Linked DNA regions of Caenorhabditis elegans. The protein of the gene in region 4 interacts with the protein of the main gene of each other region in a pairwise test. Each region holds a gene or a part of one and is shown on either strand. Other genes may lie near its edges. The genes, in order: vab-23, kel-8, F09E5.7 and pas-6.

Region 1 (9,402 bases), on a different chromosome or scaffold from region 4:
TCCATCTCTTGTCTGTTTAGCCCTAATCCATCTGTTCTTCAACCCAAATACAATTGTGCCCCCATTTTATGACACCTTTGGGAAGGGGGTCTCTTCTTGAGAAAATGAAAACAAATGAGAAAGGACATGGATTGAGAGAGAAAGAAGCATGCATTCTCATACCTTTATGACTCAGTTCTCTATTATGTTTAGAACACATATAAAGACAATTGGCAACAATGAAGGAAACATGGCCCAGAAATTCAAATATAGACTTTTTTGAAGAGAATAGTACAAGGGAGGACCTACAAGGAAGGTCAACCACATTTTTAATTATAAACTTGATTAGGATGCCACAAAAGTTTGAGCATCTGAGCATAAAGCTCAACTAAAACTATTAAATTAAATTGCAAGACCCTTAGCCATACAGATAAGATTATCAAATTTCTTTAGAAATTTTTTTTAAAGTTATGCAATTTTTTTAAATCTACATTCAAAAAGTGGCACACATAATATAAATCAGAGTGTCTCATTTCGGCTTGATCTATCTTAAAAAATGCGGGAGAAGAGACGCAGAGTTCTCAACTGATTTTGCATGGTTAAGAACGTGCTGACGTCCCATTTTTTTGCGCAAAAAATCACGTATTTTTTGTAGATCAAGGTTAAGCCGTAATGGGCACCACGTGGTTTTTGAACTTTGAACTGCTCTGAATTTTTCAAAAATTTGGCACTTTGGCAAGACTAAACAGAAAAGGCCAATTTGAAGCTTCGCTATTAAGCTCACTTTTGCCAATAATTTCGAGATCCATGAAATTTTTTCTAGGTAAGTTTTTGCAAACTTTGAATTATTTTTAGATTGTTTATAAAATTTGAAAATTCTGAAAACTTTTGGGATGCTTTAGGTTTTCTGAACAAAAAAAGCCTTTTGATTCTTTCTTAGATGACACGATCTTTGCCAAAATTGACCGAAAAAATTCAGACCAAAGTTTTAGGGGCTCAAATTTGTGCGATCCCCTACATATGAAGCTGAGCTTCTTTCAAAAAAAAAAAAGGTTCCAGGCTACGGTCACATATCCAAAGCTAAATTTTTTTGCATACAATAAATTCTCGAAGTCCTATATTTGTATAAAAAAGCTATACCTTATAGTCTTTGTAGAGTAGAGTTTCTAGCTTGCTTTAATAGACTCAAAGTGGTCCCAAAAACCTTTTTTAAATCTATTCAAACTCCCCAACCAGACCAATCTAATCCCAATCAACCTAGTTCAACCAAAAACATGAATTAGAAAATTAGAAATTCATCTCCCACCACCACCGTTCCAATCATTCCTAATTTGTTATTCCTCATTGCATTTTACTCATAGTCACTACTATTCTCGAAAGAAAGCTACGCCCCTCCTCCTTCTTTCTTCTCTACCGTATACCCGCTCCCTTCTCTCTCAGTTGTCCATTTTCGGTTGGGAAGGAGACACGCTTGCATCGTTTAACACAAACAGAGACACGAAGACATCGATTTTCAAGTTTTTGTTCAAAGTTAAACATGAAAACAACCCTTTTTTTCGTTTCGTACTTTTTTCCTGACACCTACATAGTAATAAACATTGTGACAGATATGATGTCACTGTTGTAAAACTGTTGTGAGCTCAAAATATTGCTCAATAATCGTAAATACATTGTATAACGGTAGCAGATGCCACGTGGCAGTATATTCCCTTGTCACCTTGTAAACAGCTCCAGTATGAGCTCAGAGAATTGTAGTCCTGCAGAAATAGGTTAAATATGGGAATATATGGTTTATCCTTATTTCTTGTTTCAGCAAAAACTTATAAATGTTAGTAGCTTCACCATCTAGGAGCTTGCTTCATAGAATTTTAGCGAGAATGTTTAAAATTATTGATTTTTACTCGATTAATTCTTCGCAAGTTTGATTCGTTTAAATATGAATTTTTTTCACTTGAGATTTTGTATGTTGTAAGGCTTTGTCAAATTTTCAAAATTTTGAACTTTTCGAGAAATTCTGAGCATTGCTGCTGGCTTGAACCTGTAGAATGTTTGAATACAATATAAAAATGGGAGAATAAATTTTTTGTCAATTTCCAAAACTATGATAGGGCAAAACTAGTTTTCCTCACTTTTTGAATACTAGTGTTAAAGTTTTTAAATAGTTTTTGAATCGCCAAATACGTTTCATCTCGCGAGTTGCAATTCTACAAAATGAGCCAGTATGGTATGTTCTCCCAATATTTTTATAGAAAGTTCGCTGTAAAATATGGTAAAATATGTGCTTAATCTTAAAATAATAACTATTTGACTTGGAAAATCTGAAAAAATGCACAAAAATTATCTGAAAGTTGACTTTTTTCCGATAATTTGTCAGAATTTTTCATCTAACTTTCAGACAATTTTCGAGCATTTCTATATAGAAATGCCCTAGATCTATGTTGTTCCAAGTCATTTGAAGATAATTTTCAGACTGAGCAAATATTATATTTTCCACAAAATTTTGATGAAAACATTGAGAGAACATGCCAAACTGCTGCGCACCCCTGATCTAGCTCCCCCAGATTTCCTCCACTTCAAAAAAAGCTCCCTGTCATCAGGAACTGACAAATCCTGACAGTTCTACCAACAAGTACTTCCCCTCTTGCACTTCCTCAAATCCCGATCACAATTAGCACGCAGGTGTTCGCATGACACCTCTAAGACACCTGAACGTGATCGATGGGGTCTTTTGACGCACATACCGCCACCCCACAAAAAGTGTCTTCTCCGCAACATTTGATCGATTATTTCTTCTTCTTGTAAGAAGAGGAAATAAGATGTGTTTTGATAGTGGTCCGAAGGAATGGGCCTAGATTGATTTACGAGCACTTTGAGGGCAGACGCCTTACTCTAATTGCATATCTCGCGGAAGGAGGGTGGAGTTTACACAATTCATTCACATTTACATTTCATCACATTCATGTTCGCTTTTCAAGGGTTACAACCTTGAGGACACTGCTTTTAGATAAGGAACACGAGATGGAGAAAGTTTTGGATTCGAATGTGTCCTACTGTAACATAATCCTTCGAGAGTGCTTGTTGATAAGATATTGAAACTTAAAGCTTAAAGCCACGTGGGAGAAGCAACAAGGTTTTGGAACTCTGTAGGTTTCCTTTTTAGATGTTCTGGGCTTAACTTTGAGCTAGCTAAATAGGTTTTGGTTCTAGCTCATGAATATTTTCATACATTTTAAGTTTTGTAGATGCTAAGTTTTTTTTAGCCTATGCCATTTTTTCCATTTTTAGCATGTGCTTTTCCGCTTCCTTGAGCTCTGTTGCTTATAAACTAAAAAGTACCAAAATATAGAGGATCTGCCACGTGGCATCTACTAGATGGATTTATGATTATTGAGCAATGTATTGGGCTCACAACAGTTTTACAATGACGATATGATATCTGTCACTTGGGCTTCTATGGTAGACAGAGGCGATATCATGGCGATATCAGGAACAACATTATTACGTCCCTAAGTAAGGATTTATGTTGAGTATTGATTTAATCAACTAGCACCTTTATTATTTGTGTATTCAATTAGTGCAATAAAAATAATAACTCACTGCTACCTGTCAAAATCAAGATAAAAGGTCTCTGTAACCGGTTAAAAGGTTAGATCTATAAATGACAGCGCATCTTTTCTATTTGTTTGTTGGCACTATTAATTTATAAACGTTAATGTTATAGTTAAGAAAGTGGATAAGATTACAGAACTATTCTACAATGATTTTGGGGTTATTTGCTAAATCCTTGTTAATTCTTAAATCCCATTGACATTTCCTACATGGATTTAGGAGCCTCTACATCCTTCCTCCTCATGTATATCCGACCCCGCCCACATTCTTATTGGTTGCCGTCCGGCTCTTCTCCGTTTCCCATACGTTCTTCCTCTTCAATTTTTACACTTTCCTTTTGCTGTCTTTTTTCTTCCATTTTTGACAATCGTTGTGCTTCTTCTCCAAAACTTTTACGATCTCCGTTTATAGATTCGACGCGCATCGATGACCGCCACGACAGTTTCGCCGATTTTGGGCGCCGAATCAATCTTGTCGATGAGCGAGCTGCATAAAGTTGCAAATGCAAAGTGAGTTCAAGTCTTTAAATGCTGCAAACTAAAATTTAATACTACTAGATTTAAAAAAAAACGGTAAAAATGCCCAGCAGCGTCGTGTTTTCTCTATTAGTTTTGCGCCATCATTTTTCAACTTGGACAGTGCATATTTCGATAATCTTCTATTTAATCAAGTTAGTTCCTACTGATAAATTTGTTTTAAAGTTTTTCGCTATATTTTATCTGTTGAACAATTGTTGATACCACCAAAAACAGCCAAGATAAAAGTTATGTATTAAAGAACGACAGTGACATACGGTAAATTATATTTGAATTAAAAAGGGGTTTCCAGGATTTTTAAAATCTGAATCAAAAACTATTATATCAACTTTGAAAGTAGTTTTTTTTTTTCGTTGCAAAACCCACATGTACCTTTAATATATGTACTAAAACTTTGACAACACTTTTTGCTATTTGCTTGAGGTTCTTGATAACCTTGCTTTAAGAGAAATTGGTCAAAGTTTGCACCATGTTCGGATTGGAGGGTGGCTGGGGTGAAGCCCTCTATTATAAGATGCATACCGATCCCTCAGAGGAAGCGGCTTAAATACAATAAATGTAGGCGGAGAAACAATAAGATAACAAAAGAATGTCGTGGGAGGATTCTAAATAATAACAAAGCTCAATATTGCGATATCAATCAGACAATAAACAATATCTGTCCTGGCGGAAGGGCAAAGAGTGCGATATCTCGCACATCAAGTTCCAGCCAACTTTTAGGCTAGGCTTCACTAAAAATCATGTAACCCGTAAGCGCGGCAATTTTTTGAAGTTCCCCGCGCCAAAGGTCACTCCCCTTCTTGCATAACTTTTTAAGTATGTACTAGTCGGTCACTTCAAAGTGATTTCGCGCCTTCCTCCACACGGAAATGTCCTTACAGGAAAAAAAACACAGAGGCTAATTGGATTTGTTGCGACCTTTTGCGTAACATCATACCGTAATCCCCCACACACATAGAAGAAGGAATTAGGGAATTAGCATAAAAATATAGGAAATTGAGATGATTTGGTAGTAGCACTTGAGAAAAGAGCCGCCAGGTGTACACAAGTGTCGGTAGGCTTTTTAAGGTTACTTGTAGTAGTTTTATATTATGGGGATGAGCTTTATTGTGGGAGTGGGGTCTTCGGGCTCCCACCAATCAGCAACTTTGACTACACCCCTTGCGCGTCGCTAATTGGTTGGCTGACTCTTTCAATTAAATTTCAAATTCTTAATTTAAAAAATAAAAACTTTGAGCATGATAAGGGGGTATCTAAAACATTCACGCTTCTACAGTACTCCCCAAACACCTTCTAGTATACAATATTTGCTTACATGAAGATACCCACACACACACATACATACATACAATTCACATCCGGTGTTTGTCATGTTTGTGTGGTTGTGGTGTGCCTGATTAAAAGCCATCTCTCTTTCCATCATGTCCTTTTGCTATCCAAGCGTGACTTTATGACCATCTTCTCGCCTCAATTTCGAATTTTGTGCCGCTTCAATTCACCGTGTAGAGTTGAGTGAAGGGGGCTTGGGATGGGAATGTAGCAGAAATGGTTTGGGAAAACTTTTTAAATGCGATATTTTATCGTGACATTTTTGGAAATCGATATTTAAATAGATTAGAAAAGGTTCGCCAATTGTAATTTCGGCAAATTGTGGTTTTGCACAACATTTTTTGAAATTTCAGAATTTTAATTTTAATCGGCAAAATTGTACGTATCCTATGAATGTTCCTACATCTATTTTGAAAAGTAAAAATTCTATGAAAATATCTAAAGAAAACGGGAAGAAATTTTCAAAAAGGCAGTGTTTCCGTCTTATAAAAAAATCCTCTGAACATTTCCGGCAAACTAATAACCGGCAAATCGGCAAACCTGGCTTTTTGCCGATTTGCTGAATTTGTCGACAAAAAAAATTTCCGAACGGAAATTGCCGCCCACCCCTGATTCAAACATTGAAGCCAGCACTTGTTGTCCTCGGTTTTTCCGAAAAATTTTACACTGACAAAAAATTTAATCTGGTTTTTTCTACAGTTAATTTCTAATTAATATATTCAAAAAATTTAAGCTTCCACAGTAAAGCAAAGCATGATTTCCAGAACAAAAGTCGATGACTACTTTGCAAAACGAAATGAGTTGCTCGAGGAGCTCAGCGAGCTGGAGAATACTGAAAAGTTTATCAAGGAAACTGCCAAGACTATTGACGAGTTGAATAAAGAGAAGGAAGAGCATTCGGAGATTATTCAGTTGATAAACCAGGTAAGAAATAGTTTTTTAAAAATAATTTTTGAGAGCTTGCAAACTTTGACAAGCTGTCAACTTTTTTCTAGAAATCTAAAAATCTACAAGCTCATAGGAATATATTTTTTTAAGCATTGATAGATAAATTTTGCCGCCTCTACAACAAATCTGCAAAGAACAGTGCAACACACAACTTTTTCAGGACAAAAGCGATTTGGAACGGGAAATTGCTGCGGCAGAGACGGAGAAAAAAGATCGAGAGAGCAAAATTGTTAAAAGATACGAAGCACTGCTGAAATTAATTGAGTCCACAAATGAGAAGCTTAAGGAAACTGGATGTGATATTGCTTTGAGCCAAGATGATCTACCACAGACTCATTTGAAAATGTAGGTTTTTTTTCTTGAGGAGCTAGAGTCAGAATTTCTTCTACAGTAAAGTGAAAACTTCAAATATGAACTTTTCTAAAGTATTACAGGCACCAGATTAAAAGAATCATGTTATTATATTTCAGTGAACCCCCAGCAGCTCCAGTCACTCCGGTTCTATCCGGCGGTCTTCCATCTCCATTTCCAAACTTCAACTTCCGAAATTTGTTCCAACCAATGCTACTTGAACAGCTTGGCAGTTTTTCGACAAATTCACCGACCCCACAGTTCAGGCCACCACCGCATATGGCTGCAGCCATGCAGCATCATCAACTTAAAGTCACCGATCACCAGTCACCGCCAATGAAGGTAGTTAAGAACTTTTTGTAGTAGATTGGGTTACTGTAGGTTGCGTAGTTAGGAAATTGTAAAAACTGGTATTATTGTAAAAATATTAGTTATTTTGGAAAAATGGTTATTATAGAAGTTGAGATACACTATGTATAAAAACTATGGTTAATGTGAAATAAAATAAAAATATTAGGGTGTTCCTACGTGTACTGTAGAAAAAGAGGTATTCTATAGAAAGTTGCTGTGCAAATATATAGACAAAATTATTTCAACTGGAGACGTTTTAAACATATGACAAAACGGTAGTACATGAGAAATGATTTTTCCGGCAAATCGGCGAATTGCCGGAATTGAAATTTCCGGCAAATCGGCAAACCGGCGAATTGACGGCATGAGAAATATCCGGAAAATCGGCAAACCGGCAATTTGCCGATTTGCCGAATTTGTCTAAAAAAAATTGCCGAACGAAGATTGCCCCTCACCCTTGGTACAACCAACTTTATTGTAGTATTGCTCCAGACCCTGTATAGTTTTCCCCAACATTTTCCCCAACAAAAATTCTCGTTTCAGACTTGCCAATCCTGCTACCAACAAATTCACCGAAATGCTCCAATATGCCCAATGTGTAAGAGCAAAAGCCGGAGCAAGAATCCAAAAAAACCAAAGAGAAAGGACGCTTGAAGATTATTTTTCTACCATTTTTTAAAAATTATTTTTTGCAATTACTTTGTGATCTCCCTGAAGACATAAATGAATATTAATGTACATTATTTCCAATTTTTTGATATGTTTTGGGAAAGCCATCTAAATGATGAGTATATAAACATAGAATAGGTGATGAGAATGTCAATTGACAGGTCCTTGAGTACCACGTCCTTTAGATATGTCAATCGAGTTGCAAAATGATGAAACTCATTCTACAATAGTTGTGTCTTGTTTTCCAGCTGCGGAGTGTATATGGGATCAAAATTTTGCTCCAAAAATTTGAGTCTAGAAGATTTTTTAAAATAAACTTCTTTTTTTTTGAGGTCCCACCGGGTCCAGAAATATTAAAAAATACAACATTTAAGATTTTTCTTACTTTGAAATTTTTTGGAATATTTAAAAACGAAATATTAAAAAAACTATTCAAAATTAATTTTCAAAAAGTAATGGCCTAATTTGAAAATGTTCTAGACTCATCGAAAATTGAGAAGTTCTAAAAATTTCAATTCATGATTTTTATATCATTTTCTTACTTTAAAAAAACCCCCATTGAAAAACACGGCTTTGACCAAATTTTAATGGTAGGCAGGCACTGTGCCTATGTGCCTACGTGCCTGCCTACCGCCGCCTTTGCAAAATTGTAGGCGTAGTTAATATGTAGGCAGGCAAGCAATTTTAACTCTAGTAAGTAGGCAGAGATCCCCGATCTCATGTTACATTATTTCCCGATACATTTGAATTGTTTTTAAACTTTTTCCGTGATTCACAGTTTTTCCATTTTTTTTTCCTGAAAGAACTGACTCATGAAAAACACAAGCGCCTTTCCAGAAGATGATCGACAATTGGGGAAAAAATATAGAACAAAAAAGTGGAGCGGAAGCCCATATTTCTTGTCTCTATTTTTTTCAATTTTTCAGTTCTCATGCTAAATTTCCCTATTTTATTGATAGCGATAAATGAACCAAATTTCAATTGGAGGTAGGCACTGTAGGCACCGGTGCCTGCACTGTTCCTATTGGTCTACGTGACTGCCTACCGCCAACTTAATGGATTTTATTGTGAACTCCGATGTTCACTCCTCCTATAAACTCCGATATTTAGATCTCTAGCCAGTTTTTCTGTTTTTTTTCTGATTTTTGGCAAACAATATACATATTATTTTTTTGTGGCTCCTATTTAATTTCAAAAATTTACTTCCAATCAAAATCTGAAATTTATTCAAGTTTTCTAGGTGAAATAAATTCAAAAACCGAGCTATCAGTTATAAATTACAACTGTGATTTTTAGGTGTTTTTAGGTGCTAAACGAACATTTTCAATTCTTATCCACACCTTCCTCACATATTTCTCGGCTCCATAACTCCATCAATATGTCCACGAAGACGCACCTTATTTTTATGCAAATGCTCTCTATGAGCCAATCGTCTTTTATCGGTCACCGCGATTTTATTGTCATATGCAAATTTCTTTTCTATCACCATTTTTTTTCTCGCTTTCCAGTGTGTGTGGCACTTTATTTTGGTATATTTAGATTTTTCATTTAGCCAAGAAAAGTAATGGAAATCACTAAAAATCAGAATTTTTCATTAAGAATGTCTGTGTCGGGCTCAGGATTTTTCTGG
Region 2 (7,908 bases), 2.9 Mb from region 4:
CACCAACTCCCAATCCAATACCCCATCAAAAGCTAAAAATTCAAATTTTCCCAAACTACAGTAACCCTACCATATACCTACAGTGCCCCTACAGTCCCCCTACAGTACCTTGTACCATGGCATTATCCCAAACCAATTCCCAACCCAATACTTCTTCAAAAGCTGAAAATTCAAAATTTCCCAAACTACAGCAACCCTACCTTATACCTAAAGTATCACTACCGTATACCTACAGTAGCCCTACAGTACCATGGCATTATCCCAAACCAATTCCCAACCCAATACTTCTTCAAAAGCTGAAAATTCAAAATTTCCCAAACTACAGCAACCCTACCTTATACCTAAAGTATCACTACAGTACCCCTACAGTGCCACTACAGTACCCTGACATTATCCCCCACCAACTCCCAACCCAATACCTCTTCAAAAGCTGAAAATTCAAATTTTCCCAAAATACAGTAACCCTACCGTATACCTACAGTACCCCTACAGTACCTTGACATTATCCCCCACCAACACCCAACCCAATTCCTCTTCAAAAGTTGAAAATTCCAATTTTTAAAGTTACAGTAACTCTACCGTATACCTACAGTACTCCTAGAGTATCACTACAGTACCTAGACTTTATCCCCCACCAACTTCCAGAGAGTTTAAAAATCAGAGATCAAAAGTCAAACTACATAGAGACGATGTTACGTGGTGTCAGAATGTCGCATTTCGGTTTGATCTCCGAGAATTGCGGGAATTTAGATGCAGACTTCTTAGCAGAAAAATGAGCTAAAAGTGTTGTCAATTCTGAGGGCATAGCCAACCATTTTGACTCCGACATTTCACGTACCCCATCATAAAAGTCAAAAATTTCAGCTCAACAACGGTTTCCGGCGACAAAACCGGATTCGCGCTCGACATTCAAGCCTCTCAAGTGACGCTTGTCTTTACCAGCGACTTGACCAACACGTTCCGCGGATTCCTGATCCGATACGACAGTGTGCCGGTAGGATCCGTGTACATGCCAACCAACTTGTGCTCGAGCATCCTGCACAACAGTGAATTCGATATTATCACCTCGCCAAATTTCCCGTACAACTACCCGGATAACATATCATGCGCGTTCCTGATCAAAGTCTCTGCTGATCGTTTGTAAGTTTTTACCTGAGTAGATCAAATTAGCATGACGTTTTTGATCTGTAGATGACGTCAAAAAAGCAAGTCATCATTTTGATAAGGTTGTATTTATGACACATAGGGTCAAAATTTGTCTACGCAGCTTTTTCGTTTAAAAAAGTCATAAAAGTCTAGGTAGTTTTCAACAACAAGAACAATTATTTATGCTCAAATTTCAAAATGGTCACGGTTACGAAAAGTGTGCTCCCCGTGCACTACTCGAAATTTCAAATAAGATGATGAAATATGACCACATAATCCTTGATAGTGAGTTCATAAAAAGTGACATTTTCAGGATCTCCTTCCAATTTGTCGCCTTCAACACAGAGGACGGATACGATGTAGTGTCCGTGTACGATGGAGCGAACACTTCCGCACCGCTTATTGGACAGTAAGTTAGACAGGGGGTAGGGGTAGGTAGGCGAGAGGTCGACCTAAAGCGGACTAAGGTAGGCAGGCGATCTGAAACCTAGTCTCAATAAAAAGCCGTAATTGGATCTAACTAAAGCAGAAAAACAGAAAACTCCATAGTTTTTATGACTACCTACCAATATTGCTATATTTCATATCAAATATCATACTCTAGAGTAATCCTACAGTACTCCTACAGTACCCCGACCATATCCCCCACTGACCCTAAACCAATATCCCTTCAAAAGACAAAATTCAATTTTTCCTAAACTACAGTAATCCTACAGTACTCCTGCAGTACCTCTACCGTACTACTACAGTACTACTACAGTACCCCTACAGTACTACTACAGTACCCCGACCATATCTCCCACTGACCCTAAACCAACATACCTTCAAAAGACAAAAACTGAACTTTGCCTAAACTACAGTAATTCTACAGTAATCCTACAGTACCTCTACAGTACCCCGACCTTATCCCCCACTGACCCTGAACCAATACCCCTTCAAAAGACAAAAACTCAATTTTGCCTAAACTACAGAAATTCTACAGTACCCGACCATATCCCCCACTGACCCTAAACCAATATCCCTTCAAAAGACAAAAACTCAAGTGTTCCTAAACTACAGTAATCCTACAATACTCCTACAGTACCCCGACCATATCCCCCACTGATCTTAATCCAAGGATACTATAAAATAACCATTTTTTCAGTTATTCCGGAAAGAATATGCCAGCTCCAATAACATCGACGAGCAACACTTTGTACCTGTGCTTCTCCTCAGACTTGGTCACCAATTTCTCGGGATTCTCCGGTCTGTATACCTCATTTGTCTCGAACAACTTCAAGCGCGGAGTACTACCACAGGTGAGAAAAGATCTAGGCCGGCTTGGAAGCAGGCAGGCATTTTTGTGCCTAGGTACCTAGGGCTTCACTAAAAACTAATCTTTCAGTCCCTGACAACGGATTCAGTGGCGATTCGTCGTGACAAGAACATTCTCGACTGGCTCAAAAAGAAGGCCGAGGAGAAGAAGCTTATTGGAGCTGCTGCAGCACCGGTTATCTCTATCTAGTAGTCCCCCGAAATTCTCAATATGTAATGAATTATTATTTCTTCGCAATTATTTTTTGCCGCTTACTGTATGAAAGTGAAAGGAAAATTAGAAAATTAGTGATGGGGGGGGGGGGGGGGTGATAAGAGAAATCTGGGTTGAAGGGGGAGGGGTAGGGCGATAAAAAGGGAAATTTTAGGAGGAAGAGAAGCTGGTTTTTAAAAAATAAAATTTTTGTTCTATGCCCGGACGCGGGAAAAATTTCACATTGATCTACAGTAGATCATCATCACGGGCTTCTAGTAGCGGTTTTTCGCGCTCCATTGAAAATCGGTGAGCGGAAATTGCAGTTCGGCAAAGGAAGGTTTCAAATTCGGCAATTTGCCATTTTGCCGATTTGCCGGAAATTTTGAATTCCGGCAAATTTCACGATTAGCCGGAAATTTTCAACTCCGGCAATTTGCCAGTTTGCCGATTTGCCGGAAATTTTCAATTCCGGCAACTCCCCGATTTGCCGGAAATTGTCAATTCCGGCGAGTTCCCGATTTGCCGGAAATTTTCTATTCCGCCAGTTTGCCGATGTGCAGGAAATTTTCAATTATGGCAATTTGCCGATTTGCCGGAAATTTTAAATTCCGGCAAATTTGCCAGTTTGTCCTAAATTGTCAATTCCGGCGATTTCTTGATTTGCCGGACATTTTCATTTCCGGTAATGTGCCAATTTGCCGAAAATTTTAAATTCCGGCATTTTGCCGATTTGCCGAAAATTTTCAATTCCGGCAAAAATCGACCCCAGCCGTGGCCGAGTCAAAATGGCCTGAATATAATCAAATGTGCTCCAACGCACCAGCCGACTGTGACGGACATTATTCAGGGCTTGACCTACAGAAATCGTTTGACCTACTGGCGCCTCATTATAAACTCATATGACGTCACAAATTTCAATAATTTCCCGCGCTTTCTGGAGGTCAAAGTGCCCATCCTCAACAAAACATCCCGTTCAGGGTCCTATCCCCAAGTCTCCAGACCCTAAAGCCTACAATCATAAAGCTTGTCACTAAATAATTGCCATGTTTTTGTCTGCCAATCAACTGACTGTCCCCCTCCTGCTGTGGTATATTCAGAAGATACCAGAAGCTGTAACAAAAGACGCAGGACGTACAAGACAGGTTGAGAGAGACACTGTGGGGGCGCAGACACACACAAAAAAATCAGGGGGCGGGAAGTGAATCGAGAGAGGAAGAAGCTGGCATCTAGAATACCAGACTGACAGGCGACACACACCACGAAAAAAAAACATGTGGACCTTCAACAGATCTACCGCGGAGGCGCCAACTATGCCGTCAAGCTCTAATACGGTAGGTGGTAACTATTTTACTTTTTCTGGAATTTCATTTTGTAAGCTACCACGGATTTCTGGCTTCCCTCTCATAAATTGAAATGGAAGAGTTTGCCAAACTAGGCCATTTTGGCTCGGCCATAAGTGGGGTAGATTTACGGCGCGTTGCGTGTCGCGTCGCGGCTCGATTTTAGTTGTAAAACTAAGTCTATTTGTCCGTGTGGAGTACACGATTTTAACACGCGTTGTCCGCCGGGCGATTGTCAATGGAGCGCGAAAAATTCTCTGAGGAAAGACAGAACCCCGTGATTTTGGCCTAAAAATCATTAAAACAGGAAAATTGCCGAAATAACGGGGTTCTACCCTTCCTCATTGAATTTTTTGCGCTCCATTGATAATCGTCCGAAGGAAAACGCGTGGGTAAATCGTGTACTCCACACGGACAAATGCATTTAGTTTTACAACTAAAATCGAGCCGCGGCGCGACACTCAACTCGCCGTAAATCTACCCCAGTAATGGCCGAGCCAAAATGGCCTAGTTTGGCAAACTCTTCCATTTCAATTTATGAGGGTAATCAGAAATTCGTCATTTTGGCCTAAAAACACCAATTTGGCCTAAAAACATTAAAACCACGGGAAATTTGAAACAGGAAAAAAATGGCAAAAAATTCTTGGAAACCGGCGAAATCGGCATAACTAATCCAAAACGTTCGAATGTACTATTTTGCCGCCAAACACCTAGCGGGTCATGGTGCGGGGGCCGAGAATTTCCTATTGGCAGTGGAGCGCGTTTCCACGTGGATTTTTCTGCGTACCCATAATAGCCGCGTCACACAGTTAGTCACCCAATTTACTACCTAATTGCATGGCCTTTGTGTCGGAACTCGTTTTTTTCGTAATGTCGCAACACATGGTACATAGATAAAAATCTCGAGATAACCTATAGTTCAGTTCAAATGTGAAGCAAATTTACTGGTGAATCGGGAAAAAACTGGTAAATTGTTCGGGATATATACTTATTATACATCAAAAATTGCTCGAAAAATTGTGAATTTCAGCTTTTTTTTCAGGAAATATATATTTTCTAGAAGAAGAATACCGGAAAAAGGTGCGGGTCATTTTGCACGCCATCACGAAATTTTCGCAAATTCCAGCGTTTCCGTCAAAATAGTAAATGTATATTCAAAATTTTTTCATCTAATTATCAAGTGAGGCTGCTCTTTTCAAGTTTCGCTGTAAAGAACCGCCTCTTTTTCGTAGTTTGTTTCACATAAAGTGGTGGTGACTCTGCAATTAAAGGTGTGCAAACGCGCTCTGTGGTTACGTGCAAGAGAGAAGAGATTTAGAGAAGTTGGAGGGAATATTAATTGTTTTTTTTTGTTTTTAATTGTTTTTATGTGTTTTTTTCGCATTTTTCGTTGATTTTTCGTTAAAAAACTTCAAAAACAATAATTTTCATTCAAAAATTTCAATTTTTCCAGAAAAAATCACTGAAAATGGCAGATAACGACAGAAAACGAAAGCATAACCGATGGAATCAAAAGTGAGAGCTAAAATTTGAGAAAAAAAAACTATTCTAAGACAATTTCAGAGTTAAACAAAAATCTGTGGAAGCCGGAGTGACCGGACTATTCTTTTCCTGCGAAGGCCACGAAAAGCAGGCCCTACAAGAAGCCTACAGTATTATTGACGAGCTTCTCGAAGACCCGGCGAATGGAATCTCTCTTAAAGCACCAGAAGCTGCTCCACAAGGCTCAGAAGCACCCGGAAATCCAGCAGAAGCTGAAGATTCCGATGAAGACATTGCCGATGCGTTGAAAAAGGCTTGTGATGATCAGAGGCAGCCGAAGCCGGGAAATTTCGTGAAAAAAGAGAGAAGATGCATTCAAAGACCGACGGGAGTGAAGAATTGCATTTTTGTGAGCGTGAAAAACGCGAATATTCAACTTTTAGCCGAAAAAATGGTCGAGCTGACGCAAAAAGCTCCGCGTTGCAGGTTTTTGCAACGAGTTTACCCGGTGGAGCATACTTTAGCTGTGGATCTTTCAAAAATGAATGAAGTTTTGATGAAGGTGCTTTTATTTAATTAAATTAATTAATAAAATAAAAAAAAGTAATTTTTCAGGTAATCTCCGACACATTGAAGGCAGACGGCACTGGCAAACTTCCCACGTATTCCGTGGAATTTAAAGCGAGAAATAACGATTCTGTGGCGAAGAATTCCGTGCTCCAAATGGTCGATGACGCCGTTTGTGCGCTGGCTCCGACTGCGAGAGTTAGCCTAAATCGTTAGTGTCTCTAAAAATCTGAAAAAATTTCAAAAAAATCAAAAAATCAATGATTCCAGACGCCGACGTCACATTCTTCGTTCAAGTATCTCGTACGACAATTATGGTTGGCGTGTGCCGGCAATTTTACGACCGCCGAAAGTATAGTCTTCGTGCGACGCCGGCAGCGGCAGCGACATAAGTCTCTTCTTCGACCTTTTTCCCCCTTTCACCCAGCGCCTCATTGGCTCAGTGGCAGAGCGTCTGTCTAGTAAACAGAAGGTCGCTGGTTCGATTCCAGCATGAGGCACCGAATTTTTTTTGTTTTTTTCATTTGTTCTGTTAAAATACTTTGGCTATTTATTTGTTAAAATACATGAAATTTGAGATTCGATTGTTAATTATTTTTTAAATGCATGGTATCTATAACTGTGACGTGTCAAAAACTCAGGTCGACCCTTGCTCGCGCGCGTCTCATGCACAACCGAGCAAGAAAAAAAACGTGCAACCAACCCGAAAATCTAGCTCACCCGTTCTGCGCACTCCCCAAAATCAACACTATTTCGCTCTCTCGCAGCTCTTCCAAATTGTCAAACAAACCGAGTAGTTACACGCACCCCCCGCCGAAACTCGGGAGCATTCAATCTGGCCTGGTTTTCCAGTATGCTGAAATTTTTTGGACTATTGTAAATTGTTTGTGAAAAAGGTCTCGCCACGAACGAAATATTTTTACAATAATCATTTGTGTGAAATGCTGTGCGTCTTTTTACCCGTTTATTGCAATTTTCACATGGTGTCAGGTTGTCCCATAACGGTTTGATCTACAAAAAATGCGGGATTTTTTCCACCAAAAAATGTGACGCCATCTGCACGTTCTTAACCATGCAAAATCAATTGAGAAGTCTGCGTCCAAATTCCCGCATTTTTGTAGATCAAACCGTTATGGGGCATTCTGACACCACGTGATTTTTCTGAAATTCTCTTAATTTTACGCCAAAAATACGGTACCCTGGTCTCGACACGACAAATTTCTGTCAAATGCGAATAGGTGTGCGCTTTTAAGGAGTACTGTAGTTTGGAACTTTCGTTGCTGCCGGATTTTCGTCGATTTTTATAGCTTTTCGATAAAAATTCAACTACAAAAAACCTATAAAAAACGATTACAACCCCGCCGCCGCATTGAAATTTTAAAACTACAGAACTCTTTCGCATTCAACAAAAATTTGTCGTGCCGAGACCAGGGCACAGTATTCTTGGCGCAAAAATTACAAAATGTCGGTTTTGGGTAATATTCTGCAGACTGAAATTTTGGCGCATGCATAACATAGTTGACGCGCAAAATATATCTCGTAGCGAAAACTACAGTAACCCCTTAAATGACTACTGTAGCGCTGGTGTGTCGATTTACGGGCTCCATTTCCGAGTCTATAGAATATTAAAATCCAGTAGATTTTTTTCGAAAAGAAAATCATTTTAAAAAATCGAGCCCGTAAATCGACACAAGCGCTACAGTAGTCATTTAAAGAGTTACTGTAGTTTTCGCTAAGAGATGTTTTGCGCGTCAAATATGCTGCGCAGTACGCATTCTCAGAATTTTGTGTTCCCGTAATATCATCACGGCCCGAGAACTGGTACTCTTAAAAACGACACCTTCATTTTATGAAATTTGAAAA
Region 3 (7,229 bases), on a different chromosome or scaffold from region 4:
ATCGGGAATATATATACTCAAGTTCATCTGAAAAAAGTGCCAGAAAATATGAGAAACTTTTCGTTCCTCCCATCTTCCACCCACTCATCTTCTCATCTTTCAGATATTAATTAGAAAATACTCGAAGATTCGGTGAAGATATATTTTTTTGGAGCCGAAACTGTGTATATCAAACATCTCATAATTTGAGCAAAAATATCGCATTTTTATATTCATGTGGACGTGAGAGAATTTCTGGAATTGTTGTAAATATGCGCTTGAGGTTCTTTGGTTTGTTGTAGTATGCTTACTACATATAAAATATAAATCAAGACTCTAAATACCCTATTACTCATTTTGATGATTCGACTATTGACATTATTTATTACTAATTAACTCAGCAGCACCCGTTCCCCTCGAAAAATAAATTGGGTTTTGGGATACTGTAGTCTTAGTTTTGGAGCTACAGTAACCCACGATTGGCACGTTGAAACTCGCAAACATCCGTTTTTCTGCAGGAGTTCCATCCAAATTCCGAACTAAACATCCCAATTTACTTTGAGAAACCAATTTTCGGCTGAAACTGACCAATATTTTAAAATCGAGTGTTTTGGGGTACTGTAGTGAGTGCGCATTTTCAGCTTTGGACGTCTAAATTTGGAGTCATTAAAATATCATCGTCCTTACTACCAATAAATTAAAAAAGCCTCCGTGGTCAAGTGGCTCAAAATTTTGGCGTTCACGCAGACGTCCACTAGTTCAATCCCAGCGGTGGCAACTTTTTTTGCTTGAAGTTTTGTGTCATCCTAGAAAAGGAATTAGTTGAAAAAATTATGGTTGACATTTTATTGGGTACTATCAAACATTCAGGACTCACTTTTTTTCATTTATTTATATTTATTCATCAGGCAACAATCATAATGATACAATTACAACAAAGCAGTGAAGTGAAGGAAAAAAGAATGAATAAATAGATATAAAATAATCATTTGGACCCGCAAGAGTCCGGTGACTAAGTATGAGGGGGGGAAGAGGGTAAAACATTGTCAACAAAAAGTTGACCGGGACGTTTTCCGAACAAAATTTCTGAGACAGGCTTTTCTGAGACAGGCTTTTATAGTCATGTAGACGTGAGAGTTTCTGGAATTTATAAGGCTTTTGTGTGTTTGGTTTCTTGTAGCATGCTCAATACATATTAAATATAAACCCCCTCTAACCTATTTTCCGATTTTGATAGATATCTTGGTTTCGTAGTTTGCATTTTTAATATTGCAAGCTATACAAGACTTTTCTAATTTTAACACGCTCATGGAGCTGACGGAGTAGCATTCAAATAAATATAAAATACACATTTAATACAACAATTATGGTTTTCAGATGTATCCGTCGAAGCCACCACCACCTCCGTTTCCACCGAATCTTCCATTGGGATCTCTCATGAATGGTCTTCCGTGACTTCCTCCTCCACGTGGCTGTCCTAATGGGCCCAGTGGATTGAGATCCGGATGATCAGGTCCACGGAACAGGTCTGGAATGTTTGGATTTCCGGCGCGTGGTACACCTGGTGGCAAGAAACCTCCGAGGGGATTGTAGTATCTGAAATTTCGGAGATGAATGCATCAACCTTTAGGAAAAAAAATTGAAATTAAATTTGACAATGAGAAATCGGAAACTCACTCAGTATCCGGATCAGGAAAACGATTCCCGTAAGGGTCATGAACAGGATGTCTAGGAGGATGACGTGGTCCACCGATCATAAGCGGATTTTCATTACGAACTGGTTCATTTCTTCTCGCTGTAGTTCTCGACTCATTTGCTTTCTGGCAATACATTCCATAGAATTTTCGGCCGGTGGTGATCGTATTTTGTACAGTTTCATTTCCAAAATCATTGTTTAAACGTTTCTTCCAGAATGTGTTATCGACCGCATCAGATGTAAGAATTTGCTGAGATTTCTTGTTCGATAAAATGAGTTTTGCAACACTCTTGGGTGTCAAGTTTTTCAGAATTTTGTCACGCAGAGAGCCGAGCATCAAAATATGATTGAGAGTAAGAGCTGATCCAATAGCAAGCACGAGTGGATGAAGACCTTCCGACAAATCAGATTTCAGAGAAGACGAAGGAGTTACTGTGAAAGAAGCTGCGATGGAACGGAGACTGTCTGAAAAATCGAATTATAACTGACAATTTTATTTTCAAAACTTACTTTTTATGACATATCCAGTTATGATTGCTTCAAATCCTCCATCCTCACTGATGAAAACCTGACCAACTACTCCAGAGTTCTGTGGAACTCCTCGCTTGGTGCCTCCGAATTTTAATTCAAATCCTTTCGTTTCAGGTCCGTTCCAAGATTTCATGCTTTCCTCCTGAATGAATCACGCTTAATTTGCTTAAAAGTAAAGAATTAACCTACATGTTGCTGCTCATTGAGCATTAATTCTCGAGTTTCCTTGAGAATTTCCGATCGGAAATTATCCATTATTCTGTGACTGAAAAAAATGCTGAAGGAACTGAAAAGTTCAATTCAAAAGAAAGGTATTTAAACAGTAACAGCAACTGAATTGGAATCTGGTAATTAAAAAAAAAGTGAATTTGAATAGTGAATTTTCTTTAAATACTAAAAAAATAACAAACTAAAAAATGGAATGTAAATCTATTTATTTTTGTATTCTCTGGCTCCGAACAGCTTGCTTCCCACTCGAACACTTGTTGCACCTTGATGAATTGCTTGAAGGAAATCATCGGACATTCCCATTGAGAGTTCTACTGAATCCGCAGATTCACCTGAAATCAATACTTTTCAAGTTTTTGTTTAGAAACTTTGTGGATCCAACATTTCAAAACATTTCTTGAAGCATAAGTTTTATTTTTTGACGTCAACCACTGACGGTTCTCGCTTTGATTTTTCTAGAAAATCTGTTCACCTGTTTGTTCTGCCCATGTTTGTCGGACTTTGAAGAGCTTCTCGAAATCCGGATTTTCTCCGCTTGCGTGGCTGTAAAATTGAACTTTTATTTTATGGTAAATATTTAATTTATCGCTTGTTAGCTTGATCATTATTTACAAGTAATAATTAATATAAAACGTTCATTTTCATCATTTCTTACACCTATTTCCATTTCACCTGCCACTGAACAACTTTTTAGTAGGATAGTCGTAACAATAAATAAATATATACCTGTTGTCAAACGATCCGATAGTCATGAATCCATCAAATTTCAAGTTTTGGCATTCTTTTCGAATGAATTCCGCAAGTTTCGGTGCTTCTCCAATCTCGATTCCTCCTTTATTATCTTCTCCGGATGTATTTACTTGCACGAGAACTCGTAGTGGTGACAAATTGGCTCCGTGTTTTGACCATTCCTTCAAGATATTTAATTAAAATAGATTAATAGTCACTAAACACACCTTGTCGAAAATCCGAGCATGTTTCTCAGTCTCCACTGTTTCAACACACCAAAGTCCAGGAGAATTGCAAATTTTTCCAATCTAAAAATTTTTAAATGATTAATAAATAAGGTAAATTTTCCATCAGAACTAACTTTATTTGATTGCACTTGTCCGATAAAATGCCAACGAATATCTAAACATTTTGACGCCAAAACATCAGATTTTTCTTCAAGCTGAACAATAAGGAATCATTTTCAAAAGTTTTGTTGATGATTTTTCTCTCACTTCTTGGACGTAATTCTCTCCAAAATGACGCTGATTTTGAGAATAACATGCCTCTATTAAATCAGCAGACTTTGTTTTACTGACAGCAACAAGTCGACATCTGAAAAATTCATTATTAATTTAGTTTCGCAATAATTTCCGGTTTACCAACCTTTTTGTGGCTTGCGAAGCAGTAACGGCGTCGGCAACGGCTTCAATAATGTTGAATAGACTTTTTTGTACAATTTCTATAGACATTTTCTACCTGAAAACTATATTATTTAGTTCTAAACACGGAAAAGGAAGGAAACAACAAAATAAGAAATTTCTAGAGGGGGTACGTTTTCGTAAGGGGATTTTTTCGTAAGGAACGCTTTCAGTAGGGCAATGTGCGGCGCGCCTTTTCGCAAGCCCGCCGCACAGTCCTTCGCAATGCGCCGCACGGCTTTTTGCAATGCGCCGCACGCTTCTTCGTATTTATTTATTTATTTTTCCAACAGGAAATTTCGAACGGAATTCAATTAAAAACGGATTTTTAATGGAAATTAATTAGTTTTATTCGAGCTAAATACGGATATTTTCAGAATTTTCGATGACAAAAACGGGTTTCATTCGATTTCGAATCGATCAAAATTAATATTAATCGAAAATGAGCGTTTCCTTCCCGGAAAAAAGAAGAACTTGATGCTGAGAGTGATCCAAGCGGAGCCAAACGCTTTTTTAGAGGCAAGTATTGATGTCTAAAGATTAATTGAAGAGTGAAAAGTATTTTTCAGCGTTCGACAGGGATCTAAAGAAGAAAAGAAATCCGAAAGCGTCTACTACAAATGTATGTGAATCGACTCCTGCAACAATCGATCTGGTTACTCCACCTGCATCACCACGTCGGTCTGATTCGTATATGCAGTTTCCTTCAAATTCTCGAGAGCTCGATGAGCCGAGATCCACTGACGATATCCCGGAATGCGATTCAATAGCCAATTCTACTCAGGAAACAAGCTTGGATACAACAGATTCCATGGCAAATACTGAAAGATTTTTTGATTTTTATCCAGCTGTATTTCCCGAAGAAATGGATCACGATCTACAGGAAACAAGTGAATTCAATCTTCTGTGTAGGTCTTAACTAATAATTAAATAGAAATAACAGACGTTGTATTTTTAGGTCACAATTCATATCAATCTCCGTTTGAAGACGAAGAGACTCCATACCATCCGGATTGGTTTTTGACAAATAGGTTGTTATTAATCAATAACTCTATCAAAATATAAAATTCCAGCAAGTCACACGTGTTACGTTCTCTGATGCACTATAGACCGATTGCCAATAGCCCAAGAGGGGTGCTTGAAATGGCACCGGAATATATCAGCGAGAATAGTTCAGATTTTTGGTATGCCTTCTAACTTCTAAAACAATTAAACATAGAAACTATGCAATTTCAGTATTTCGACGAAACGAGGAGCTCCATTGGTCATTTTCAACAATCAAAGCTATCGTCCGAGAGAAACACTGAAAAATGGGGACATTGTGGCTAGGTGAATTATCGCTAGGAAAAAATTGTCACACATTTCATTAATTTATTTCAGATGTAACGTTACACTGGAAAACTCGAGAAAGTGCCCCGGATCCGTGCGTATCAAGACTGAGACAGGCCATGTGAAAGTCAGTCGTGATTGTGATCACGAATCGAGGAGAAGCGAAATTGCAGTATACTGAAATTTACGTTTTTCAAAACTAAATTTATATTTTAGGTGCAATTAATTATGAGAAAAATCGCAGTTTCATCAATGTCTTCTTCACCATCAAAAGAACGCCTTTATGAGCTTGCTGTTACACTTTCAAAAAGATATGAAGTTGTTGAACTTCTCAAGAGCAACGTAAATAATAAATCGTGGAATCAATAAAACATATACTTTTTCCAGAAAGAAATCAGTCGCATACTGGACGGTATGCTGAGTAGGAAATCGACGAATAGTTTTCCACCAGCCCTCGATTCTGCCTATTTTAAAGGAGGAAAATGTTGTTTAGACAGTTCTGGAACGTTTGAGTCTAATAAGGATTTGCTAGTTGTGTGGCAAGCAGAGGAAGCTGAATCTTTGTATGGTGCGCACAGCTTGCATTTGGATGGGAAATTCTCAGAAATTCCGAAAAATTATCGACAGCTTTACATCGCAACAGTCACGGTGCGTATTAATTGAAAGGTATTTTGATGTCAACCAATGACATTGCAGGATCTCGATACGAACGTGGCAGTTCCATTGGTTTTTGCTTTGTGTGGCTCTGCCAAAGAAGATTTGTACAGACGTTTGTTCCTATCTTTCCTACGTAGTGGAATCCAACCAAAATACGTATTTTCAGGTAAACGTTGGTTATATTTATTAAATTTATCAACCTATCCAGACTTTGAAGTGGCCAGTGTTAATGCGAGCAGAGCTGTGTGGCCGAATGCGGACATTTTCGGATGTTGGCGTCACTTCAAAGTGAATCTTTTTAAAAATCTGCGAAAAGGTAAACCTAAATATTTAATGCTGCTAACCTAATTCAAAATTTCAGCTGTTGGAGACGATATCAATAAGCCGGAATTCGTGAATCTTTTAAAATCGATTTATACTCTCAGTTTTGCTCCACACGACAAAGTACTTCTTTGGCTCCGTCTTCTGAAATGTTGAACAGTTAATATTCATCCAGCATTGAAAGGTTTGAAAAATCTTGTCATGAAATCAATTATTCTCGTTTTTCAGATTTCTTCAGCTACCTCGAAAAATTCTATTTTGGAGAAGATGCTCGATATCCCGTTGATTTTTGGAACTGTAAAGAGAGGGTTCGAAACGGATTAGAGTTCACAAACAACCCGAGTGAGCAGCAATTTTCCAAGCTGAAGGCAAGTTTCTTTTTGTAGTTTTTTAAGTTCTCAAATAGGTATATAATATCGATTTGTTTTGTTTTCCAGAGAATGTATCATCACAACGACTATCAAAACCTGCGAGGAGTGATTCAAAAGACCATTCAACTATCAAAATCATTGATCCTAGACTTGAAGAGACGATCCGGAAATCGAACAACCGCTGTGCCATTATACAAAAACCCCGATTTCTGTACTTCAGTGTTTTTGAATTATACCGGTTTCAGTGCTTTTAATGAGAAACTTTTCCCTTTTATGGAAATTCCGAAATGCTATCACTGATCTCTTTGTTTACCTCTGTGCCATTAGATTATAGAAACAATTTTCCATACTCAGGTTATCCAAATTTCGCCATGATTTTTCTTACTTAATTTAATCGAATTAACTTTTGTTTGCAGTTTTATTTTCCATTTCGACTGAATAAAAAATCACTTCTATCATTTTAATCGTTTGGCTCCGCCTGGATCACTCTCAGCATCAAGTTCTTCTTTTTCCGGGAAGGAAACGCTCATTTTCGATTAATATTAATTTTGATCGATTCGAAATCGATTGAAACCCGTTTTTGTCATCGAAAATTCTGAAAATATCCGTATTTAGCTCGAATAAAACTAATTAATTTCCATTAAAAATCCGTTTTTAATTGAATTCCGTTCGAAATTTCCTGTTGGAAAAATAAATAAATAAATACGA
Region 4 (6,558 bases):
ATTTTTATTTTACGGTAGATGCAAATTGAAATTTTTTGAAAATTAGGGTATCCGCTTAGAATGTACTGTACATTTTTTGTTACAGCCCTAGCGGAAATAACTTTCAAACATTTTTTGATGAGTAATGCATGTGATAAGAAAATGATTCAACACTCTAAATTCCAATTCTCATTTCAAATTAAAAATATAACTTACTGGCGATATGCCTGAATAGTAGAACCGGCCAAATTCATGATGGTATCCAGCTTGAAAGCTTCCACGAGCACTTTTTCGTATTCGGCTCCAGGATTAGTGTCTTAAACTTTTCAGTTTAGATTTATGATGAACAGAAGAAGGAGTTAAAGAGTTTGAAAAGTTCAGGAAATAGCATTTTATTACGAGGTGCATGTATAAAGCATATATATTTCTACCAAAAAATCAAAGTTTAGGCCTGTTTGTTATAGTTAAAAACGGTTATTTATCTCTAGTGTCAAATATCGAACAATATTTTGGTTCAGCATGTATTACGTAGACGTCTGTAAATGATAATTTTCGCCATATCTTACGCGCAAGGTCTCACCACGCGGGCAAGGAGTTACTGTAGCTCGTGTCGATTTATGAGCCACTATTGCATAATACAGTTATACTCGCTGTTCTCGTGGCGAAACCCTCGACAGAAATGCCCATTTATAAACATCTACATAATAAGGGCATATTAAATTGTTTTTGGGAATCAGAAATTTTCTATTTGGCTCAAATTTGCCCGTGAAGTATGCTCGTAAAGTAAGACCAGCAATTTTGTGAAATTTGGAACTTGTTGTGATCACTATAGCTGAGATCGTGTCGAGACCCACTCAGAAAAAGATCGTGTGCCTTTAAAGCGGGGTTTGACTGTTCACGAAAAAATAATAGACGTCTAAAGAAAACAATTTCCGGCATACTGTGCAACTTACTGTAGCTCGTGCTTCTATTGCACCATGTTTTGAATAAATTTAAATATAATAAAAGAAAAATAAAATGTATTTTTTTAGACGTCTAAGTAAAAATGAATAATATTTTCCATTGAATTGAAATTTTTATGAGTAAATCAGCCTATAAGTCGACCGAACAAGCTTATTTGCAGTTAAAAAAAATTTATTTTCCAAAATTAAATTGACTATTTTTAAATAAACACTTGAACTTTTAAATTTACAGGATATATTTTCTTCAGAAAAACAATTTCAAGGATAAAAAAATCATTTCCACGAATCAATGTGTGCACTCGGTGCAAAAGTGTTCGAAAACTTGGTCTAAAAGTGAAGAAAAAGTGCTGAATAGACCTCGCCTCCTGCCGAAAAGAACATTGTGTGCTGGTGCTGGTGGCGGCAGTGCTTGAAGTGAGGAAACGCACGCCACACAGAGCCGCATGGCCCTCCGATGCCATTGGCTCGATACAAATTCATTTAAGGGCGCTCTTCTTTTCTCTCTTCGCTTGTCAGACAAATGGCACAAGGAATGAAAGAAGAATTGGTGGAAGAAACGAGAGAATTCTATTCAGTTCATTCAGAAGCGGCACACACAATGGTGTCGGGCATTGATTGTGGTTCGCTTGGGAAACATTTTTGGTTTTGCTCGTGATCATAATAAGCAAAACCGCTTGTTAGAAAAACAACTTCCAGTAGATCCGTAAATCCTACTTCCCTTTTTTACCTATTTGTGGATTTTTAAATGAAGAAAAATGTATAAAAATTGTCAAGAGCTCCAATCGAAAAACAAAAAAAGGCAGAAGTGGGTCGAAGAAAAGAGTTGACTGCGACAAAGAAGATTTCAATCTCAATTCGACGAAATTTGAAACTCTTCTCTCTTGCATCACACACACTCCTCCCCTTCTTCTTCTTTTGCTCCCCTTTCTTCGCTGATTTACAATTTGAGTGATGTAGTAGTGTATGGAACACTGAAGAGAAGAACTATGGAATAATGCCGTGGAGCAGCTCGCCGGGGAATAGCGGAAGACGGCGGGTGCGTGGTGTACTACGGCGCAGACATCCATCATTAATGGACAGAAGGCATGGACGCGAATGACGAGAAGTGCTTCCTTTAATGTTCTTTCTGCAACATATACATGACTGTTGAACGGAAAAAGGAAATTAATATGTAATCAATCTTTTGGAGCAGGAAAATAATTTAATTCGGGAACGAGAGGGAGATTAACCGGCGATAAATTATACGGGTCACATAAAAAAGAAATGGAGACGAAAGTAATTCACATGGTCTGTGATTCAAATTAGAATCTACATTTGCATTGGTTCGGCGCCACCTGGAGCTGCTGCTGCTGCTGCTCCGCCAGTTGTGCGTGGATGTGTGGAAACTTGGTTGAGATGAACGGCGACTTGAGCATCTTCGAGAAGACTGAATGGAGAATCTTTCCCGACAATTCCAATAGACGTATTCTGAGCGTTGAGGTTTTCTTCGGCTGGAAGTGTGTCGCGAAGAGCAAGGAGAGCATGGACAATCAATTGTTCCGGAGTTGCTGAAAAAAGAAATTGCTCAATTTTATCAATTATATTCCGAAATAAATACATTTCTCGAAGTTATCAACATTTCTCTCGAGGTAAGTGCGCGCAGACTGAGATCTTGCTCCGATTGAAGTTCCATGCATGCTGACGACTTCAGCAGATGGGTCAGTTTGAATGATGTGTGCTCCATCTTTCTGAACAAAAAAATATTTAAAAGAACAATTATATTTATGATGTTCTTACGTCATATCCGGCAATCAGAATTCCAACTCCGAATGGACGACGGCCATAATATTGTGTATTGGCTTGAAGTTCTGAAATAAGAACAATGTCTTGAGAAAATTGCTTCCAAAATTCGCTTACTCAATTGCATAGATTCAGCGAGCTTCTTGATTGGAACCGCTTGCTTGTAATCCCAACGCCAACTCGAGCACTCGGTTTGGAGGTAGCGAGCCAAGATGCGACCATCGGAGAGGAGACCAGCGATGGAAACTCCAGCGTGAGTGTCAATTTCGTACACTTTCTTCTGATGAGACGACAAATCGTTTTGCGCTCTCTGAAACGAATATAATTAATTGAAATTAACATGTTGTTTCGCCAACCTTCAGGGCGACGATGACAGCGTGGGTTTCACTCTTGATTCCAACAGTTGCCGAACCTTGCTTCATCGCCTCAACGGCATATTCGACTTGGTGAAGACGTCCCTGTGGGCTCCAGACTGTTACATCGCCGTCGTATTGGTTGCGGAACATGGTTCAAACCTAAAAGCTCTTAATTACAATTTATTGAAGTTTTTAGCCATTTTTTGCAGTTTTATAAGCAGAGAGTGTGATTCAAGATGAACCAAGAGTTAGAAAAACATATGGAGTTTATTTAAATCCACAGAAACAAAGAAAAAATATTTAGAAGTCGAAAGAAAACCTCTGAAATGAGTTCTAAATTTGAAAGGATGACAAAATAAGCGAGTACGCATACACCACACTTTACGCGCAATTGCTTACCGTATACCTGGCGGCAAAAAGTGAAAGAAATTTCCAGGCATGGAATTCCATGGAATTATGTAATTCTTCTGGTGAAAACTGCGTAAGATCCTCAAAATAATTTCGAAAAAAAGACACTCAAAATCCACGAAGAGAACTGTGAACAAGTAAATATTACACGAAATTGAACGAAAATTGCGAAAACGTGATTGAAAACGTCGAATTAAATTTTGAATCTAATTTTTGAGGAATTGAATATTTAAAATTTAAAATGTTGTCTACTGATGGTGGTGGCCGATTCCCTGACTTCAATATCTTAGAAATTCCTGTTTAAATCTGGCAAGGCTATACTACAAAGCTCTGTCTTTGAAAATCTCTAGTTTCATTTTTCAATCATGTCTATTGAATAATAAATATCTTTCCTCTCATTCACTTTTCTTACCCACTGACCCACTTTCTCTTGTGACTCTCGACAGTGAAACACCGTACCTAATTAGGCAATTTACCAGTAGTTCATATTCATTCTCGGGAGTACGCAATACCACACGCTCATTGAACTTTGAGAAAGGCGATTTGAAATCGAAATTTATATGTTTTCAAACTATTTTCTTCATGAAGTATGGTACTTAATATATATGTCTTGATATTGCTACTTTATGGTTTGAGTGAGTTTTTAAAAAGTTTTGGATTTGAAATCTTTTTTTCTACCAAATTTTTTCTGTCCTTTTTTATTTAAAAAATCATGAAAATTTGTTAATGGTCGCTCTTGAGGTTATTCAAAATTTAAAATTTAATTTTTGGGATTTTAGAAAAATCGCTCATTTTGTAGGGCTTTTTCTATATTGAAAATTGGAACACGGATTAGAACCATTTTGCGTCTAAAATGTAAAAATGCAAAGTGCGGCACAGAAAAATAGGTGTGGTTTAGAGACAAAAGCGCGGTAATTCAAATCAAAAGTTTAGCTAGATATGACCTTCAAATTAATTCAGATACCAGTTTTGCTTGTCACTCCCTGAGCTCTCAGTACAGTCAATTTTCATCTCGAAGAGCCAGAGCTCGCGGAGTCTCATCCCTACAACGTACAAGTGAAAATGCAATTGACTTTGACTACCTCACATCAAATCTACCGTACTCCGCAACTGAAATTCGTTCGATCTCATCTCTTACCCCATTTCCTGTGAAACCAATGCTAACTGTATCCGACGGTGGAAAGCTTACATGTCATTTTGACGATGATATGGAATATTGTGGATGGCATAATGCAGCGGACACTGACATGAAGTTTTTTTTTTCAATTTTAATAGAATTTCAAAAATTACTATTTTTAGATTCTGGAAATCAAAGTTAAACTCAGATAATAATTTTGACTCGCAAAGATTTGACTCTGGAAGTCCATTGAGTTTCACACCAGGTAAGAGGAACAAATTGTTTCTAAAAATCAATTGAAACATTCCAAAAAGATTGAAAAATTTGAAAATTTCAGCAAAAGTTTTGGTTGATGTTAGTTTGAAAATTCTGTATTTAAAAAAAATCCTAACGCTCATATGATGCCAAAATGGCCAAATATCATAGTAAAACGTTCCAAAAAATTTTTTAGATTTTTTCATTGACATGCAAAAAGTGGCAATCACTTAGATTTTGCCACTTTTTGAGAAAACTATATCGCTGTCGCATGTCCGAACCCCTACAATGTTTGAATAGGAGTATTTTTAATTGGCTCATTTTCCTATTTTCAAAAAATCATTTAAACATTAAAAAAAAAATTTATTATTAACTTTTTAATTGGGTAAAAGTACCAGTTGATTTCAACTAATCATAACAATTCAGACAACAATTTTCTACTGGCTGGCGGCGAACCAATGATTCTTCCACAGACTGCTGCAATTGAAATGGAAATTCCATGTCAATATGGAGATGCTGAAGTGAAATTCGAGTAGGTCTTCGAGTTCACAGCTACGTTGTAAAATCTCGGATCTTTTAATTTAATTTAATTTAATCTTGATAAAGTTAACTTTTAACTAATTCATCTGAAAAAGCAAATAAGAAATAGGATTCTAGTTTTTCGATTTTTAATCCCTATTATATTCTCATTAGAAAACAAAACTTTGAAATTTATGTATCTACATTTGGTAAGTTTCATCACGGATACCATACTTTTTTCAATAAAAATTATTTTTTGAAACCGATAAATCGGAAACTTTATGGTTTTTTAACCGAGATTGCATATCCAATTTAGCTTTTGACCCTTGCAAGATTCATTCTGAAAAACAGAAAAACAGTGATAAAGTGTTCATATCATGAAAGGGTTAACTTTTAACTAGATTTTCCAAAAAAAAACTAACAGAAACCAATTTTAAATCCTTATTGAATTCTCGTTTCAAAAAACCAAAAACAACGGTCAAGTTGGTGTCGATGGGAAGGGTTTGTATTCTGTTAGGAACACGGGTTTGGCATCACAAGGACACCGGGCTCTCCTGCAAGCAGAAGAATGACTGGGTAACCCATCAACTCCGGACCGATGTGAGAGAATGGAGAATCGCAGTTGTTTATATACCCGTTCACGGCCGAGCGGCAAACATGTTCGGGTGAAAGTAAGATATTTTTTCTTGTTACGAAATTTGTCACAATTGCAATCGCTAGCTGTCTCTCTGCATTTCACATGAACATGTCTGCCACTCGGCCGTGAGCGGGTATATAAGCAACGCCAATTCTTCATTCTCTCACATCGGTCCGGAGTTGATGGGTTACCAGATTAATTCTTCTGCTTGCAGGAGAGCCCGGTGTCCTTGTGATGCCAAACCCGTGTTCCTAACAGAATACAACCCCTTCCCATCGACACCAACTTGACCGTTGTTTTGTTCTTTTTCAACGATATTCTAACCGGAAAGATGAACTGATTTCATTTGGTTTCTCAGAAGGACTAGAATAATTTGTAAACTATAACTTTCTCATGATCTATGAAATTTACCACTATAGTACATAGGTTTCTCTGATTGCAAGGAAGGAATTATTTGTGCATTTCACAAGACAAGATTAAACCTGAGGTTTTGAATTTGGAATTTTATAAGGTTTCACATTCCAAATTGCTCAAAAAGGTTGATAA

The links.
Region 1: the proteins of pas-6 (region 4) and vab-23 interact in a two-hybrid assay, tested with the Caenorhabditis elegans proteins (3 studies listed by BioGRID).
Region 2: the proteins of pas-6 (region 4) and kel-8 interact in a two-hybrid assay, tested with the Caenorhabditis elegans proteins (2 studies listed by BioGRID).
Region 3: the proteins of pas-6 (region 4) and F09E5.7 interact in a two-hybrid assay, tested with the Caenorhabditis elegans proteins (3 studies listed by BioGRID).

The regions. Positions count from the first base shown.
Region 1 is NC_003280.10:11,895,808-11,905,209, reverse strand, and holds vab-23 (C4H2-type domain-containing protein), read left to right. Parts: upstream 1-3,999; 5' UTR 4,000-4,014; coding exon 4,015-4,097; intron 4,098-6,206; coding exon of another isoform or gene 6,207-6,217; coding exon 6,218-6,377; intron 6,378-6,561; coding exon 6,562-6,746; intron 6,747-6,871; coding exon 6,872-7,094; coding exon of another isoform or gene 7,095-7,115; exon of another isoform or gene 7,116-7,646; coding exon 7,647-7,757; 3' UTR 7,758-7,845; downstream 7,846-9,402.
Region 2 is NC_003283.11:2,667,537-2,675,444, forward strand, and holds the start of kel-8 (BTB domain-containing protein), read left to right. Parts: upstream 1-3,927; coding exon 3,928-3,987; intron 3,988-5,449; exon of another isoform or gene 5,450-5,464; coding exon of another isoform or gene 5,465-5,511; intron 5,512-5,559; coding exon of another isoform or gene 5,560-6,040; intron 6,041-6,093; coding exon of another isoform or gene 6,094-6,256; intron 6,257-6,315; coding exon of another isoform or gene 6,316-6,437; exon of another isoform or gene 6,438-6,631; intron 6,632-7,908. Other genes in the region: W02G9.4 (CUB domain-containing protein), read left to right, coding at 865-1,140, 1,460-1,555, 2,291-2,444, 2,531-2,650; thum-1 (THUMP domain-containing protein), read left to right, coding at 5,465-5,511, 5,560-6,040, 6,094-6,256, 6,316-6,437. UniProt on the Caenorhabditis elegans protein: Substrate-specific adapter of a BCR (BTB-CUL3-RBX1) E3 ubiquitin ligase complex that regulates degradation of glutamate receptors in neurons. The BCR(kel-8) ubiquitin ligase complex mediates ubiquitination and subsequent degradation of rpy-1.
Region 3 is NC_003280.10:5,347,341-5,354,569, reverse strand, and holds F09E5.7 (PI31_Prot_N domain-containing protein), read right to left. Parts: upstream 2,484-7,229; 5' UTR 2,462-2,483; coding exon 2,396-2,461; intron 2,349-2,395; coding exon 2,186-2,348; intron 2,141-2,185; coding exon 1,657-2,140; intron 1,576-1,656; coding exon 1,353-1,575; 3' UTR 811-1,352; downstream 1-810. Other genes in the region: F09E5.8 (Pyridoxal phosphate homeostasis protein), read right to left, coding at 2,636-2,766, 2,907-2,977, 3,161-3,345, 3,391-3,471, 3,525-3,605, 3,658-3,757, 3,809-3,894.
Region 4 is NC_003283.11:5,581,109-5,587,666, forward strand, and holds pas-6 (Proteasome subunit alpha type-1), read right to left. Parts: upstream 3,236-6,558; 5' UTR 3,227-3,235; coding exon 3,077-3,226; intron 3,031-3,076; coding exon 2,838-3,030; intron 2,789-2,837; coding exon 2,718-2,788; intron 2,669-2,717; coding exon 2,539-2,668; intron 2,489-2,538; coding exon 2,250-2,488; 3' UTR 2,053-2,249; downstream 1-2,052. Other genes in the region: CD4.11 (MAM domain-containing protein), read left to right, coding at 4,074-4,119, 4,445-4,736, 4,784-4,866, 5,283-5,388. UniProt on the Caenorhabditis elegans protein: The proteasome is a multicatalytic proteinase complex which is characterized by its ability to cleave peptides with Arg, Phe, Tyr, Leu, and Glu adjacent to the leaving group at neutral or slightly basic pH.